3 linked regions of the Arabidopsis thaliana genome follow. The protein of the gene in region 1 interacts with the protein of each later gene in a pairwise test. Each region holds a gene or a part of one and is shown in the gene's direction. Other genes may lie near its edges.

Region 1 (5,453 bases):
GGAACACCGGTAATCTTTTCTATGATTCTGCATCTTGTGTTTGTGTTTTTGATAGAGCAATGGTGTGAAAACAGAGAATCCTTGCGAGAAACATAATTCCAACTATTTCCATGTGTTGTTGTATCTTGCTCAGATGTTGAAGAGTTTGAAGAGACTAGATGTGACGGGATCTAAGCATCTCAAGCAACTTCCAGATCTTTCAAGTATCACGAGTCTTGAGGAATTGCTTCTGGAACAATGCACGAGACTGGAGGGCATTCCAGAGTGTATTGGAAAAAGGTCTACCTTAAAGAAGCTTAAGCTATCCTACCGTGGAGGGCGTAGAAGTGCCCTGCGGTTTTTTCTACGAAAATCTACAAGGCAGCAACATATTGGATTGGAGTTCCCAGACGCAAAAGTGAAAATGGATGCACTTATAAACATATCGATTGGGGGAGACATTACTTTTGAGTTTCGTTCAAAATTTAGAGGATATGCTGAATACGTCTCTTTTAATTCTGAGCAACAGATACCCATTATATCGGCGATGAGTCTGCAACAAGCACCTTGGGTCATCTCAGAGTGCAACAGATTCAATTCCCTCCGCATCATGAGGTTCAGCCACAAAGAAAACGGTGAATCTTTCTCCTTTGACGTCTTTCCAGATTTTCCCGACCTGAAAGAGCTAAAACTAGTGAACTTAAACATCAGGAAAATCCCATCTGGGATTTGTCACCTGGATTTACTAGAGAAGCTGGACCTCAGCGGAAATGATTTTGAGAACTTACCAGAAGCTATGAGTAGCCTTTCCCGGTTAAAAACTCTCTGGCTTCAAAACTGCTTTAAGCTCCAGGAGTTGCCAAAGCTAACTCAGGTGCAGACACTTACACTTACCAACTGTAGGAACCTTAGATCATTGGCGAAACTATCTAACACAAGTCAAGATGAGGGAAGATACTGTTTGCTTGAGCTTTGCCTTGAAAATTGCAAGAGTGTTGAATCATTGTCAGATCAGCTTAGTCATTTCACCAAGTTGACATGTTTAGATCTCAGCAACCATGATTTTGAGACATTGCCATCAAGCATCAGAGATCTTACCTCATTGGTAACACTTTGCCTCAATAACTGCAAGAAACTCAAATCGGTGGAAAAACTTCCCTTGTCTCTCCAATTTCTCGATGCACACGGCTGTGATTCTCTCGAAGCTGGTTCTGCAGAACATTTTGAGGACATACCAAACAAGGAGGTGAATACTTGGCTCTTGATCCGTCTCTACTATGATTGATGTAGTTACCCTTTATCATCTCCCTTCTTTTATAGGCACATACACGAAATGACTACTTCCAAGAAACTGAGATGTCGAGTTATGTACTGAAAACTCAAGCCACAAGAAATCGCCAAACCATCCGCCTTCCCAAGATCACACATGCGGTTATGTATGTAGGCATCCCTATCTGCATCACGCTAGTGGCTGCTCTTGTGATTTTACTCCTGCGTGTTTTCAAGTGAAACTCAAGACTCAGCAACAGCTTCCTCAAGACTTAAACTGTGTGCTTTCTTCTGTAATTTACCAGGTAGTAACAAACTTACTACATTTCAAGTCTCCCTTGCTTCTGCTTCTCTCTCTCTTTTCCACTCGCATTTTGGAACTGAGTTCCACTATATCCAAAGAACGCTTCAAGATTTTGTCCATAAACACAAAGAGTAGGCAGATTAGCTTTGCTTTAGATGCTTCAGCTGCCATATAGTTGCTCACTAGATTAGGCTTTTGACGATAGTTTTACTTTGTAAAGTGGATAGGCAGATAACTAGATAAGTGTTTACTTTGTTAAGTGAACAAAATAATAAGTCAATAAGATTAGAAAACTAATATATTAATTAAGCATTAAAAATACTAATGAAGGTGGCGGTACTGCTAATAATGGAGCTGGTGATTTTGTTGGAAAGGTAATGACTTTATAAGAGAGAAAATTGTGAGTGACGGAAATGAAGCATCAAAAGAATACACACACACACATACACACTGTTGAGTATCTATCTGAGAGAATAAGCAAAAGAGAAAAGAGATTTACTTTGTTTTGATAGGCATCCCTTGAGTTCCTGTTCTTCATCTCTTCCTTGAATCCGTAAGGTCTCTCTATCTCCTTCTCTTTGAATCCGTCATTTCTTCGCTTTTTTTTAGAGTGATGTGCTGATTCGGAAATCTTCTGGAAATTTCTTCCCAAGTCAACGCCTTTTAGGACGAAAGTAATGGTGCTGATTTTAGTTGGTCGGAACTTTACTTTTTTTTCTGCCGCGCTCTTCTAATAGTTTGCCCGAAATAGTTCTGAATGTTGCTCTGTTTCTGGGTTTTTTTCCCTTTTTGGATTATCCCCTTCTTTGTCTACTACATCGTCAAAGGTTTTGCTGTTTCCAGGAATAAATATCTTTTGAAAGTTTTATCATTTATAAAGATGTTCTGAATTTGGAGCTTCTTTGACAGACACATGTATCATCAATCTTCTCTGTTGAAGCAGAGAGAGAGAGAGCTAATTGTTGCCTCTGAGTCACATGGATAAGAAAGTTTCATTTACTAGCTCTGTGGCACATTCAACTCCACCATACCTTAGTACTTCCATCTCATGGGGACTTCCAACCAAATCCAATGGTGTGACTGAATCACTGAGTTTGAAGGTGGTAGATGCAAGACCAGAACGTCTTATAAACACAAAGAATATCAGTTTCCAGGACCAGGATTCATCTTCAACTCTGTCCTCTGCTCAATCTTCTAACGATGTTACAAGTAGTGGAGATGATAACCCCTCAAGACAAATCTCATTTTTAGCACATTCAGGTCCGTTTTAAACAACTTTGGGTTCTAGACAACTCACTATGATCTATTATGTTGAAGACGCATGGTGTTTTAGCTTGATCTTTGGTCCCATTTACGAAAGAATCCATCCCTTTGTCCTGAAAATGTTATCTTTCGCTCTCTTTCTTTCAGATGTTTGTAAAGGATTTGAAGAAACTCAAAGGAAGCGATTTGCAATTAAATCAGGCTCCTCCACGGCAGGAATCGCTGATATTCACTCTTCTCCTTCCAAGGTACCCGTATATCTACTACGAGTGACGATAAGCAGTACTTGTGATTGTTTACTGACATCTTGTGTTATACTCTGGTTTCAGGCTAACTTCTCATTTCACTATGCCGATCCACATTTTGGTGGTTTAATGCCTGCGGCTTACCTACCACAGGCAACAGTAAGTATATCCTCCTTGATTACATATGGTGAGGAGAATATTTATGCTAAACCTCATTTTTACTTAAGGTGGACTTGTTATGTAACATTATGCTCTGAAGTAGTTACATATACAGCTATAGAAAGAAATGCCATCCTTAAATGGTGAATTAGTCTTGCAATTTATTTCTCCATTTGAGATTTCAGTTTGCTTAAAAACTTTCTGCAGATATGGAATCCCCAAATGACTCGAGTTCCGCTACCATTCGATCTCATAGAGAATGAGCCTGTCTTTGTCAATGCAAAGCAATTCCATGCAATTATGAGGAGGAGGCAACAGCGTGCTAAGCTAGAGGCGCAAAACAAACTAATCAAAGCCCGTAAGGTATAGTATTTTGGTCAGCGTTTCGGTATCTTACTTTGGTTTAATGACTAAACATAACTCATTATCAAATATCATACAGCCGTATCTTCATGAATCTCGACATGTTCACGCTCTTAAACGACCTAGAGGATCTGGTGGAAGATTCCTAAACACCAAAAAGCTTCAAGAATCTACAGATCCAAAACAAGACATGCCAATCCAACAGCAACACGCAACGGGAAACATGTCAAGATTTGTGCTTTATCAGTTGCAGAACAGCAATGACTGTGATTGTTCAACCACTTCTCGCTCTGACATCACATCTGCTTCTGACAGCGTTAATCTCTTTGGACACTCTGAATTTCTGATATCAGATTGCCCATCTCAGACAAACCCAACAATGTATGTTCATGGTCAATCAAATGACATGCATGGAGGTAGGAACACACACCATTTCTCTGTCCATATCTGAGCCGGTGGAATCTGGTAATGTGTACGTTCCTACAAAAAAAGGGAAGTCATCCTTGGCTGCTACTTCGCTTATTAGCTAGTTCTTATTTCACACGCTTTGTCCAGATATCATTTGAATGACCAAAAACCTTCAAGCTTCAACTCTTTACTTTTCGTCTGTCGTTTGTACCATGGATCATCGTGTGTTAAGTCAGTGATTGGATTGGAGTGATGAATGTAAATGTAAATCTGATAACCGATAAGTCTCTGCTCTTTGCTTATTCATAGTTAGTAAAGCTAAACCAGATTCATACACTCCATTCCGGTGTTGTTTATATCATATATCATAGTCATAGAACACATTGACTAGAAGCGCAGCTTGGTCCCAATCCTCTGTAACAAGCCGTCCAACCACCTTCCCCGACCAAGTTTCTAACCGTCTGTAGATAGTCAGACTGCAGTTCCTATCGTTACTACTACTACTATTACTATCTTCCACATTTAGAACCTGCAGTCTAGTCTTTAATTATGTCACTGTAATCAAAGCGGAGACACTACCAGCAATGGCGGCAGTAACACCTTGAACAAATGTTCCCTAAACGCTTTTCTGTCTGAGTACCCCCGAGTTACAATCACTAGCAGTGTATTTATACACAAAGGGAATATCTCTTAACACAGATATGTTTCCAAAAACATACAAACATAACTAAAGACTAGACTGTAAAGGATGACGGGAAATTGCAATGTTTCTTTTGCAACACGTTTTCACCACGTGTCGATGTTGTTGACACATTAACTAACGCAAGAGTTATCCTTCTTTTGATCTTTTCCTTGATGTAATACTTTGGGCTTCAATTTTGGGCTTCAACTTTGGCCTTGTAAACTTGTTTGGATCAGTCAATAAAGAACAATAGTGACAAAAAAAAAAACTAATAATTTGAAAAATGATAAACAAAGTAAAATTCATTAAGCAAATGGCCTATCAACGCATGGACACAACAAATATTTAGTTCACATATATATATTTTTTCCTACCCAATATACCCCTATTAATAGTAGAACAGTACCAGAAAGCCACTGGCAAAGATAGGCATATGTACTAATGTACAGGCTTTGTTTTTGAAAGCACAATACTGATCTCCTAATCTGAAAATGTCCTAGCGATCGATCGGGTATAGGGAACTTTGACTACTTCAATCTGACCTTTCCAACAAGAACATGAAGTTGGAGTTTTGGCGGATCAACGGAGGAGGATCAACCTCTGCAACCTCTACGTTTTGCATCGATTTGGAGATATCGTCAAGCGAGAATGGGATGCTGCAAAAAGCAATCAAACCAAGACACATAATTTTTTTTATCAAAATATCAATCTTCTAAAAAGTGATTTGTTTTGTTAATGTTTCTTTCAAGGGTTTACCTCGAATCGTCGTCTAGTAAAAATG
Region 2 (4,947 bases), 3.2 Mb from region 1:
AGCGCCGTTTCCGGTGGATGCTGCGTCATTTGTCAGAGATGTGCTTTTTTATTTGATTGCTGCTTTGTTCTTGTTCTATGTGTACTTGAGTGGTGAGATATTTGTGTGGCAAGCTATAGGGTTCGTTGGGTTTTATATATTCTTCGTTGGTTTCGTCTTCTGGATGGATTTTGGTACCAATGTTGAGAAAGGGAAAAGTATCAGTGAGGAAGAGAAGGATTTGTTGAGACTTCAGGATTGTGAGATTGCCGCAGGTTCTCTTGGGAGTTATAAAGCAGAGAAAGAACATCAATTTTCAGGAATTTTTCGGCTTTATGGAACGGTAAATTCTTCTTCACTCATCTTTGAGCTTTGTTTATCGATCATAATGCTGGAATTTTATGGTAGTATCATATTCAGCTACCAATTGTGAACTCCGATATTGTTTAGTTTAGATTATGCGTTTAAAGGTTTTAATTTGCTTCCTGTTTTCTTCTTAGTGTACTCTAAGGTTATGATAAGTCTCTGTGTTAGTCTAGTGAATGAGCATTTTCACTTGCTTAGGCGTTTTCAACTGGATTGTAGCTGTGTTGACAGCTCAGGAGCAATCGTTAGATCGGTTAGCTAGAGAGCTAACATGTTAGAAAGAAGTTGGGCAAAATGAGTTTGAGAGAATTTCGTAGGGTTTAGGATTGGGAACTGGTCAAGACTCGTTAATCAAGTCTCTCTATGATATGTATTCCTTTGGTGAATTCGACTCTAAAGGAGTTTACCTGTTTGGATCTTATCCAGGTTACTATATTTTTTCTGTTAGACTGCATTTAAGTTTGAAATAAGTTTAGTGAAGGTTGTCTGATTCTGCTTTTGCTGCTGTGATTGCAGATCTCGAGGATGTGGGAAACTCCTGTATCAGTTCTTTTGAACCTTACCATCCCAAAACCTTCTCCTTCGGAATGGTCTAGGTTTTATCGCTCTGCCAACATTGTTTTCTGCCCTTTTGCCCTTTTATACACTTGCAACTCTTTTGTACAACTAAACCACCCAATTTCATTCCTCTTTCCAAACACCCATCTCCCGCTTTGGCTTGTTGTCCTCTTCATGACGTCTTCCCTAGCGTTCCTCCACTTCACAGTAGAAAAACAACCACCAAAAACCGAGCAACTGCCGGTCATTGTTGTAGCTTTCATAATGAGTGTTTTCTGGATATCAACAATTGCTGGTGAGCTCCTTAACTGCTTGGCTGCGCTTGGAACCCTCCTTAAACTGCCTCCGGCGCTCCTTGGCCTAACCGTTCTTGCTTGGGGAAACTCGGTTGGTGACCTAGTTGCTGACGTGGCAGTTGCAAAGGCAGGTAGACCAGCAATGGCTATGGCCGGTTGTTTTGCAGGTCCAATGTTTAACATGCTTGTTGGACTTGGATCGGCCTTGGTGATGCAAACAGCTAATGTATATCCAGACGCTTACAAACTTGGATTCCATGTAGGTATTGTGATAGCTTTCGTCTTCTTGTTGCTTAGTCTAATGGGATCTCTGTTGGTAATAACCTGGTCTAGATTCCGAGTTCCGAGATTCTGGGGGATCTGTCTTGTTGGACTGTATGTTGCTTTCACATTTGTTAGTTTGATCATCGCCAGCGTTTCAACCTGATCATATGCGTGAAGTCTGCACATTGAATAATCTAGGGTCAACCAGGGTTCATTGTTTAGGAATTTTTGTTGTCTAGAAGGGAATTGCCAAAATTTTGAGCTCAGCTGATGGCCACCGCCAGACCAGTAATCTTCGAATCCCACAAAAAGTTCTTGTGATCGTCCGAGCCAGATTAGTAAAGTTTGGTAGATAGGTGATGGTAAAATATATGTGCTTTGGGAGAAGATTTTGACTCCCCCATCTGGTTTACTTTTCCATTGATTGTACTGGTCTTGTTTTTTTGGGTCTGTTATATATGTATAAACCACACATTTGTATTCTTTTGATATTAATGAGAAATACTTCATTGATCCTAGAATGTGTATTAGAGCAGAACAAAATGTTGATTCTGGTTCTTTTTTATGTGATTTGATTCTCTGTGAATGCCAAATATGTTGTGATACAACAAAACTACTTGTGAAATTTGAACCTCCAAAGAAGATAATTAAAGGTTGCCAATTAAATCCTAAGAAGATAATAAAAATGAATTAATTAATGTAAGAGATAAAACAAATCATGATCTGACAAGAGCAGAAGAATCTTGACATAAGCCCAATGGTTGACACGACACCCAGCTTTTAAAGCTCTTTCCACTTACTTCCCCTTGTCTTTCTAAATTCCTCCTCATTGTTAAAGTCGAAAAAAGGGTAAAGCAGCAAAACCCTAATAAAATCACAACAAATTAACACAAAAAAACCAGATCTTAAAACTCTCTCTACCCACCAAGAGGATCAACCAGTCTCTTCCCCTTCAGATTCTCCTTTCCACAGGTCACTCTCGTTTGCAGATTCTTTTTTTCAATTTGACTTGTTCTTACTTATATATTGTGGAATTCACATGATAAAATAATATGCTTGGTGTTGTAGGAACAATTCTAGTTGTTCTGTGTTAGCAGATTCTTTGTTCTGTCTATTTTGAAGGAAATTAAAGGCAATCCCTTTCGATATTTTCCTGTTTTCCTTATCAAATTTATGGGTTGGAATAAGTAGGTTGATGTATTGTCTTTTAATTCGAAGCTCAATTTTCATACTTATTGCTGTTTAGATCTTCAAGGTTAATCTAGAATTACAGATTAGACCATATATAAAGTAAATTCAGCAGATTCTTATTTATGTAAATTGTTTGTTAGCAACCTTATCTCCTTCACATTTCTTTAAAATTCTGGTCAGATGTTTCTTAAGAGCTTAGAATGAATCCCAAAGTTCTGTTTTTTTATTCTGGTAGTGAATGGATCAACAAGACCATGGACAGTCTGGAGCTATGAACTATGGCACAAACCCATACCAAACCAACCCGATGAGCACCACTGCTGCTACTGTAGCAGGAGGTGCGGCACAACCAGGCCAGCTGGCGTTCCACCAGATCCATCAGCAGCAGCAGCAGCAACAGCTGGCACAGCAGCTTCAAGCATTTTGGGAGAACCAATTCAAAGAGATTGAGAAGACTACCGATTTCAAGAACCACAGCCTTCCCCTTGCGAGAATCAAGAAAATCATGAAAGCGGATGAAGATGTCCGTATGATCTCGGCTGAGGCGCCTGTCGTGTTTGCAAGGGCCTGTGAGATGTTCATCCTGGAGCTGACACTCAGGTCGTGGAACCACACTGAGGAGAATAAGAGGCGGACGTTGCAGAAGAACGATATTGCTGCTGCTGTGACTAGAACCGATATTTTTGATTTCCTTGTGGATATTGTTCCCCGGGAGGATCTCCGAGATGAAGTCTTGGGAAGTATTCCGAGGGGCACTGTCCCGGAAGCTGCTGCTGCTGGTTACCCGTATGGATACTTGCCTGCAGGAACTGCTCCAATAGGAAATCCGGGAATGGTTATGGGTAATCCCGGTGGTGCGTATCCACCTAATCCTTATATGGGTCAACCAATGTGGCAACAACAGGCACCTGACCAACCTGACCAGGAAAATTAGCAAGAAACTGTGAGTCTTCCAGCTTCTTTTAGGCCTACCTTGTAGTCTTGGGGTTTTGTTTCTGTTTTCGAATAATGGTAACCTTTGTATAACTTATTTCAGTATCGTCTCAGTTTGGTACTATGTCAGTTTTGGTATTCTTATCTTATTGAAGTAAAAATGTGATAGTGTATTCGCTTTTCTCCCTGCAGCGTTCTAGTCTCGTCCAGGTGAAAGGAGGGAGACCTTAGACAAGAAAATGAAAAGAACATATCAGAATTGTCAAATTGGGTGTTGTAGAAGAATCTAAAGTGTTTATGTCTATCGATCCTTTTCTAAACGAGAAATTTAGGGATGAACCAGAAAGAAGAATGTATAAACTGTAAGAAACAAGTGTGCTTTTGACAAAAGTTTTTTTATTTGAATGTTAATTTCTGTGTCTTTATCACACATATTAAGTTATTATCCACAAAATGTATCTCATTGGATATTTAAAACAAAAGGACAATAATATTAAGGAAAAGACAAAATAGAAAATGACTTGGCCACTGTAGCCGCGTTAATAATGTGATAGCTTTTATCTACAAGAAGCGTTACTTGGTCGTCATCTACCTTCTCAGAAAGGGAGCTGCATCAATGGCGACCAATAATGATTTTGGAGCTTTCATTGAGAAAGTTACAATCTCTCCAACTTCTACTTCCTCGTCGCCTCCTTCTCTACAGGGTCTTACTTTCGCCATTAAAGACATGTAAGATATCCAACTACTTACAGAGTTTCTTCTATACTTTCTTGTCAATCAATTTTTGAGCTTATTGCTTGGTTTGATCAGTTTTGATGTGGAAGGACGCGTTACCGGTTTTGGTAACCCGGATTGGTTAAGGACACACTCGGCAGCTACTTCTACAGCTCCAGTAGTTTCATCTCTCTTAGAAGCTGGTGCCACAGCTTTGGGTATTACCATTATGGATGAAATGGCTTACAGGTTCAATTTCACATCTTTTCTGGTTTAGGAGTTCATGTTTTAAGAAACAGGATATGTCATAACAGAGGCTAGAACTAAAATATGACTAGGTTTGTTACGTTTTTTCTGAGCATGTTCTTACTTAATATGCAGTATAAACGGAGAAAATGCGCATTATGGGACTCCGAGAAACCCGATTGCTTTCGATAGAGTGCCTGGGGGATCATCGAGTGGCTCAGCCGTAGCTGTAGCTGCTCGTCTTGTGGATTTTTCTATTGGTGAGCTGAAGAAAAATTGCCAAAAGTTGTAACCATACTACTGATCATAAAGTATTTTTCTTCCCTGTCTAATTGGTTTTTGATCAATCAGGAACTGATACCGGAGGGAGTGTACGAGTTCCAGCATCTTACTGTGGGAT
Region 3 (4,758 bases), on another chromosome or scaffold:
ACTTATGAATTATTAATATTGAAACTATTCATTTCTTTAACCCAAAAAAAGAAATTCATTTGTATTTCATGTATTTCCACTTTCTACTACTATTTCCGACAGATTTTTGACATTTGCTAACAAAATTTAAGGCTGCAAAAACCAAATCACATGGATGGCATTTGACAACTATAAGATTGTATTCATTAATAATGGTGGAGAAAATAATTGAATCCATTGATTATGCCATTGAAAGATGGAGTATATTATAATTTGTCGGCGTCGTTGCGTGACTCATGTTTTTCAACCATCCTTTGACCCCATTTGATTTTAATATTTTTTTACTATATATAGTTTAATAACATCTTATTTTATTATATGTTTTGAATGAAGTCGTAAGTGAAGCAAAAGGACCAACAGAGAGCTCAGAGTACGAGCATTCATCAATACCAGCGACAATCAAGAAACTCTTCAATCTCTCTTCCAATTTCTTAACACATAGAGATGCATGGGCTGCTACTTTCGAAGACGTTGTATCTCACTTAACCACTCCTCGAACCGATTGTCCCATGACTCTACCTGAAGTTGCACCTATGAGAGCCACTGAGCCTAAAGAAGACGCTGCTCTTTCTGAGTTTCAAGGTGAAGTGGTTCAGCTTGCAGCGGTTCTCAATGGTGATCACTTCCTCAGTAGCTTCCCGGAAGAAATTGGAAAGAAGATGACTGTGAAACAAGCTCATGAGTATGTCAAAGGAGCTACTTCTCGGTTCATTAGAGCTAGTAAAGAGGCAATGAAGCTTGGTGCCGATAAATCTGCTATTGTCGATATGCGATCTTCGCTCACTACACGGCCACACAACTGATTAAAAATCTTGTTTGCATTCGTCTTCCTATGTTTTGATCTGAAAATGTGTGATTTTATGTATGGAAACTAGAATTGAGGAACAAAGAAATAGACAAAATTCATTGTTAATGTTAGTGATATGTTGAGCAATCGAAAGATCTTCATAAACTCCCAATATAACTGAAGCCCAATTAGGCCCATATATAAATATTCAACAAGGCCCAAAATGAGTTGCATCAATTTCTTTAGTTGGAGACTTTTCTTCAATTGTTTATTGTTAGGGGCAGTGGAGTGAAGGAGAAACAACAATGTCGCCAATTTCTAAGATTCTAGGAGGATGCAGGACACTGATGGCGAAGGCGGTGACTAATGCGACGGCTACCGGCGCCGGCGTTGATAGAAGAGGAGGAATTCATAAGATTTTTCCAGTCTCAGAGTCGCTGGCTAGATTCGTCGGCCAAAGCGAAGTCTCTTTTTCCACCGCCATGGAGAAAGTGGAGCAGTATACCGATGATCACAATCTTTGGGTTAGGGATTTCGAAACTCTTCTCCAGTTTCCTTTCATTCTACTTTTTTTTTTGGTGATTTCTAGGTCTTTTGATCTGATTCTTTCTGTTGGAGCAATGTATCTGATTTATAGGTCTTTGATTTGTAGAATCCGGAGAATATAGAGGAGATACTGTGCGATGATAACTTGAAGACGATTTTCGATGGCCAAGACAAAGTCGTCGGAGTCAGAGAGATGACGGAGCTTTTGTTGCGACATTTTCCTAACGTTAGAACTATGTCGGCGAAGGTGAAGGCTACCGGTGGAGGTACTATAGAAAAATGGGGGTTCAATGATATTGTGAAAGTCTCAGAGCCGCTGGCTAGATTCGTCGGCCAAAGCGAAATCTCTTTTGACGCCGCCTTGAGAAAATTGCTAGATTATGCCTTTGATCACAAGCTCGTAGATGAGGGTGTTACTCTGCTCGAGTTTCCTTGGGTTAGCTTTTTTACTTTCCTTATGATCTCCTCTTTACATGTTTATGCATTTAGGGATTGGAGTCTCTAGAGACTGGAGAATGGTAGTGATTTGATTCTTGTGTTGGTCATTATTGGAGTAATTGACATCTACGCTGAAAATGTTGTTTACTCACTTGAATGTTTTGGTTTTGTTTGTGGAAATGGTCTTTTCTGATTGCATATTTTGAAAACTTAGCTTGTCAATTCATACACTGTCAGATGAAGAATTCACCAGTTACGAATATAGAGTGTCTTTAGGTGGCTTTGGACCTTGTGCTTGCTTCTCTGTTTGGTGGTCATAGATTGCATTTTCATGTTTAGAGATTATGATTTGTTTAGAGCTCACTTGTTTCATTTGTAGATTACGAAGTGTAGTAAATGGCGGATACGATGCGATGATACCTTGAAGACGATACTCGATGGCAAAGACAAAGTCGGAAATAAAGAGCTCTCTTCACTCTTGATGCAACATTTTCCTGACAGCTCTCTTCACTCTTGATGTTTTCTTTTGGTTCATTTCGGATGCATATGAACTTTGGTACGTGTAAAAAAAAAACAAAATTTAACTTGAAATAGAAAATAGAAAAAAATTAATTTAGGAAATAGAAAAAAAAGAGAGAAAATCATCAGCTACATCGCTGTCCACCTTATCCACTTGTACCCCAATCCCTTTGGCAAAAACTTGTCACGACCTTTTTGATCCAAAAATCAAAATCCAAAACCGACCAATGGATACCAACAACCAGCAACCACCTCCCTCCGCCGCCGGAATCCCTCCTCCACCACCTGGAACCACCATCTCCGCCGCAGGAGGAGGAGCTTCTTACCACCACCTTCTCCAACAACAACAACAACAGCTCCAACTATTCTGGACCTACCAACGCCAAGAGATCGAACAAGTTAACGATTTCAAAAACCATCAGCTTCCACTAGCTAGGATAAAAAAGATCATGAAAGCCGATGAAGATGTTCGTATGATCTCCGCAGAAGCACCGATTCTCTTCGCGAAAGCTTGTGAGCTTTTCATTCTCGAGCTCACGATCAGATCTTGGCTTCACGCTGAGGAGAATAAACGTCGTACGCTTCAGAAAAACGATATCGCTGCTGCGATTACTAGGACTGATATCTTCGATTTCCTTGTTGATATTGTTCCTAGAGATGAGATTAAGGACGAAGCCGCAGTCCTCGGTGGTGGAATGGTGGTGGCTCCTACCGCGAGCGGCGTGCCTTACTATTATCCGCCGATGGGACAACCAGCTGGTCCTGGAGGGATGATGATTGGGAGACCAGCTATGGATCCGAATGGTGTTTATGTCCAGCCTCCGTCTCAGGCGTGGCAGAGTGTTTGGCAGACTTCGACGGGGACGGGAGATGATGTCTCTTATGGTAGTGGTGGAAGTTCCGGTCAAGGGAATCTCGACGGCCAAGGGTAAAGTTTCATTTTCTGTGCAATGTGATATACATTGATTGATTACATGATCGTCTAGGGTTTTAGGAGATGGAATGATAAACAATCTCTAAGTCTGGTTTGTTTGGGATATAATCATGTTAGTCCAAGATTTCTCTGTTTATTAAGGTTTTAGGATTTGGAATGATAAACAATCTCTAATCCTGTAATCATCAAGATTTGAAAATTGTTTTCATATCGCAATTTGCAAACATTGCTATATCAAACAACTAGATTCTCTTGCTCTTCTGCTGAATCTGAATGAATCAATGAACTATGGCTCCTTAAACTTACCTTTCAATGTTTTGGTATCATTTTTGCAGTTAAGCTCAGAGTATTCCAGATGATGCTTGACCTGCTTGAAGATAGCAGATATTAGTCGACCTCGCCTTGAATTTTGGATGTGTTTGATAGATTATGCCTAAATTCAATGAAAAGGCTTCGTTAAAGAAGAGTAAAAAAAACTCTTGTTTCTCTCTGTTAACGTATATGTTATTGTAGCAAAACCATCATTGCTGCGACTTAGCCTAACTATATATAATCTAATGTGCAGTTTCTATTGTATGCTTCTTTCCGATTTTTTCTCATATTTGACTTATCTTGATGTCTGAGAAAATGCAGTCTTGTAACCTGTAAGGTTCTTTTCAGAGGTTTCAGTGCTTGTAAACCTCAAGCAAACCCGATCTGAACCAACTTGGTTCTGTGTAAATAGGTATCTGTATATGAACTCGTGACATAGTAATGTATCTAGCATTGATGACAATAATGTTGTTATTTGATAGAAAAGGCTTATCATAAAGCATCTTACAGTAACATAAGTTATTTTTTCAAGATAATTGTTTTGTAGGCTTAACCCTGTGACAGGTATTGATCTTTCTCTAAGTGTAACTTCCACATTCTTGAGGCACCTTTGGATATCGCTGTCTGTCAGAACAATAGTCATAATCCAGGTACGTCTTCCTTGCGTTTAGGTACAGTGTCTTCTCTTTAGAGCTTAGCTGTTTGCGATTCCACCAGAACTTAGGATCAGTGCATTTATCTATTCCCATGAACTCAGTCTTACACCCTTCAATCTTTGATGCCTGGAACTTAGCAATGTAAGGCATCTGCTTCGGGTCAATTATCGATCCGTTTTGCACACTTCCCATTAGGAACATTGTCTGCACCGATGGGTAGTAAACATCTGGATTCTTGCTGTACACCCTGATCGGTGTATCGTCAACATAAAACCTGAAAATGTGGAAATACATTTTCTTTTTGTTACTGATGTTAATCAATGGATGATCTGATAAAAAGTGTTATATGATACTCACACAAGTTGATTAGGGTTCCAAAGAAAACTGTAGGAATGGTAATCTTTTGTTGGATCAAACCAGAGACGAAACCTCTGATCTTTGCCTCCTTCACCGTACAGATACATATTCGTATTCAGCAAATACGGTGGCCCATTCTTTCCCAAGATCTGGAAACAGAGCTCATCATG

Evidence for each region.
Region 2: the proteins of NF-YA8 (region 1) and NF-YC9 interact in binary tests that used the Arabidopsis thaliana proteins (3 or more experiments, as listed by UniProt).
Region 3: the proteins of NF-YA8 (region 1) and NF-YC1 interact in a two-hybrid assay, tested with the Arabidopsis thaliana proteins (2 studies listed by BioGRID).

What each region holds. Positions count from the first base shown.
Region 1 is NC_003070.9:6,049,061-6,054,513, reverse strand, and holds NF-YA8 (nuclear factor Y, subunit A8), read left to right. Parts: upstream 1-1,885; 5' UTR 1,886-2,110; exon of another isoform or gene 2,111-2,461; 5' UTR 2,462-2,529; coding exon 2,530-2,812; intron 2,813-2,962; coding exon 2,963-3,063; intron 3,064-3,144; coding exon 3,145-3,219; intron 3,220-3,426; coding exon 3,427-3,582; intron 3,583-3,661; coding exon 3,662-4,033; 3' UTR 4,034-4,350; downstream 4,351-5,453. Other genes in the region: AT1G17600 (Disease resistance protein (TIR-NBS-LRR class) family), read left to right, coding at 1-9, 134-1,225, 1,300-1,488; MYA1 (myosin 1), read right to left, coding at 5,205-5,328, 5,429-5,453. UniProt on the Arabidopsis thaliana protein: Stimulates the transcription of various genes by recognizing and binding to a CCAAT motif in promoters.
Region 2 is NC_003070.9:2,880,252-2,885,198, forward strand, and holds NF-YC9 (nuclear factor Y, subunit C9), read left to right. Parts: upstream 1-2,239; 5' UTR 2,240-2,435; exon of another isoform or gene 2,436-2,889; 5' UTR 2,890-2,892; coding exon 2,893-3,588; 3' UTR 3,589-3,597; exon of another isoform or gene 3,598-3,779; 3' UTR 3,780-4,091; downstream 4,092-4,947. Other genes in the region: CAX11 (cation exchanger 11), read left to right, coding at 1-322, 862-1,626; AMI1 (amidase 1), read left to right, coding at 4,204-4,316, 4,398-4,550, 4,683-4,807, 4,899-4,947. UniProt on the Arabidopsis thaliana protein: Stimulates the transcription of various genes by recognizing and binding to a CCAAT motif in promoters. Interacts with REF6 to directly regulate SOC1 transcription in response to flowering signals from photoperiod and gibberellic acid pathways.
Region 3 is NC_003074.8:18,007,737-18,012,494, reverse strand, and holds NF-YC1 (nuclear factor Y, subunit C1), read left to right. Parts: upstream 1-2,476; 5' UTR 2,477-2,556; coding exon 2,557-3,257; intron 3,258-3,598; coding exon 3,599-3,602; 3' UTR 3,603-3,902; downstream 3,903-4,758. Other genes in the region: NPC6 (non-specific phospholipase C6), read left to right, coding at 373-842; AT3G48600 (SWIB complex BAF60b domain-containing protein), read left to right, coding at 1,132-1,350, 1,479-1,808, 2,190-2,327; XTH11 (xyloglucan endotransglucosylase/hydrolase 11), read right to left, coding at 4,154-4,505, 4,589-4,758. UniProt on the Arabidopsis thaliana protein: Stimulates the transcription of various genes by recognizing and binding to a CCAAT motif in promoters.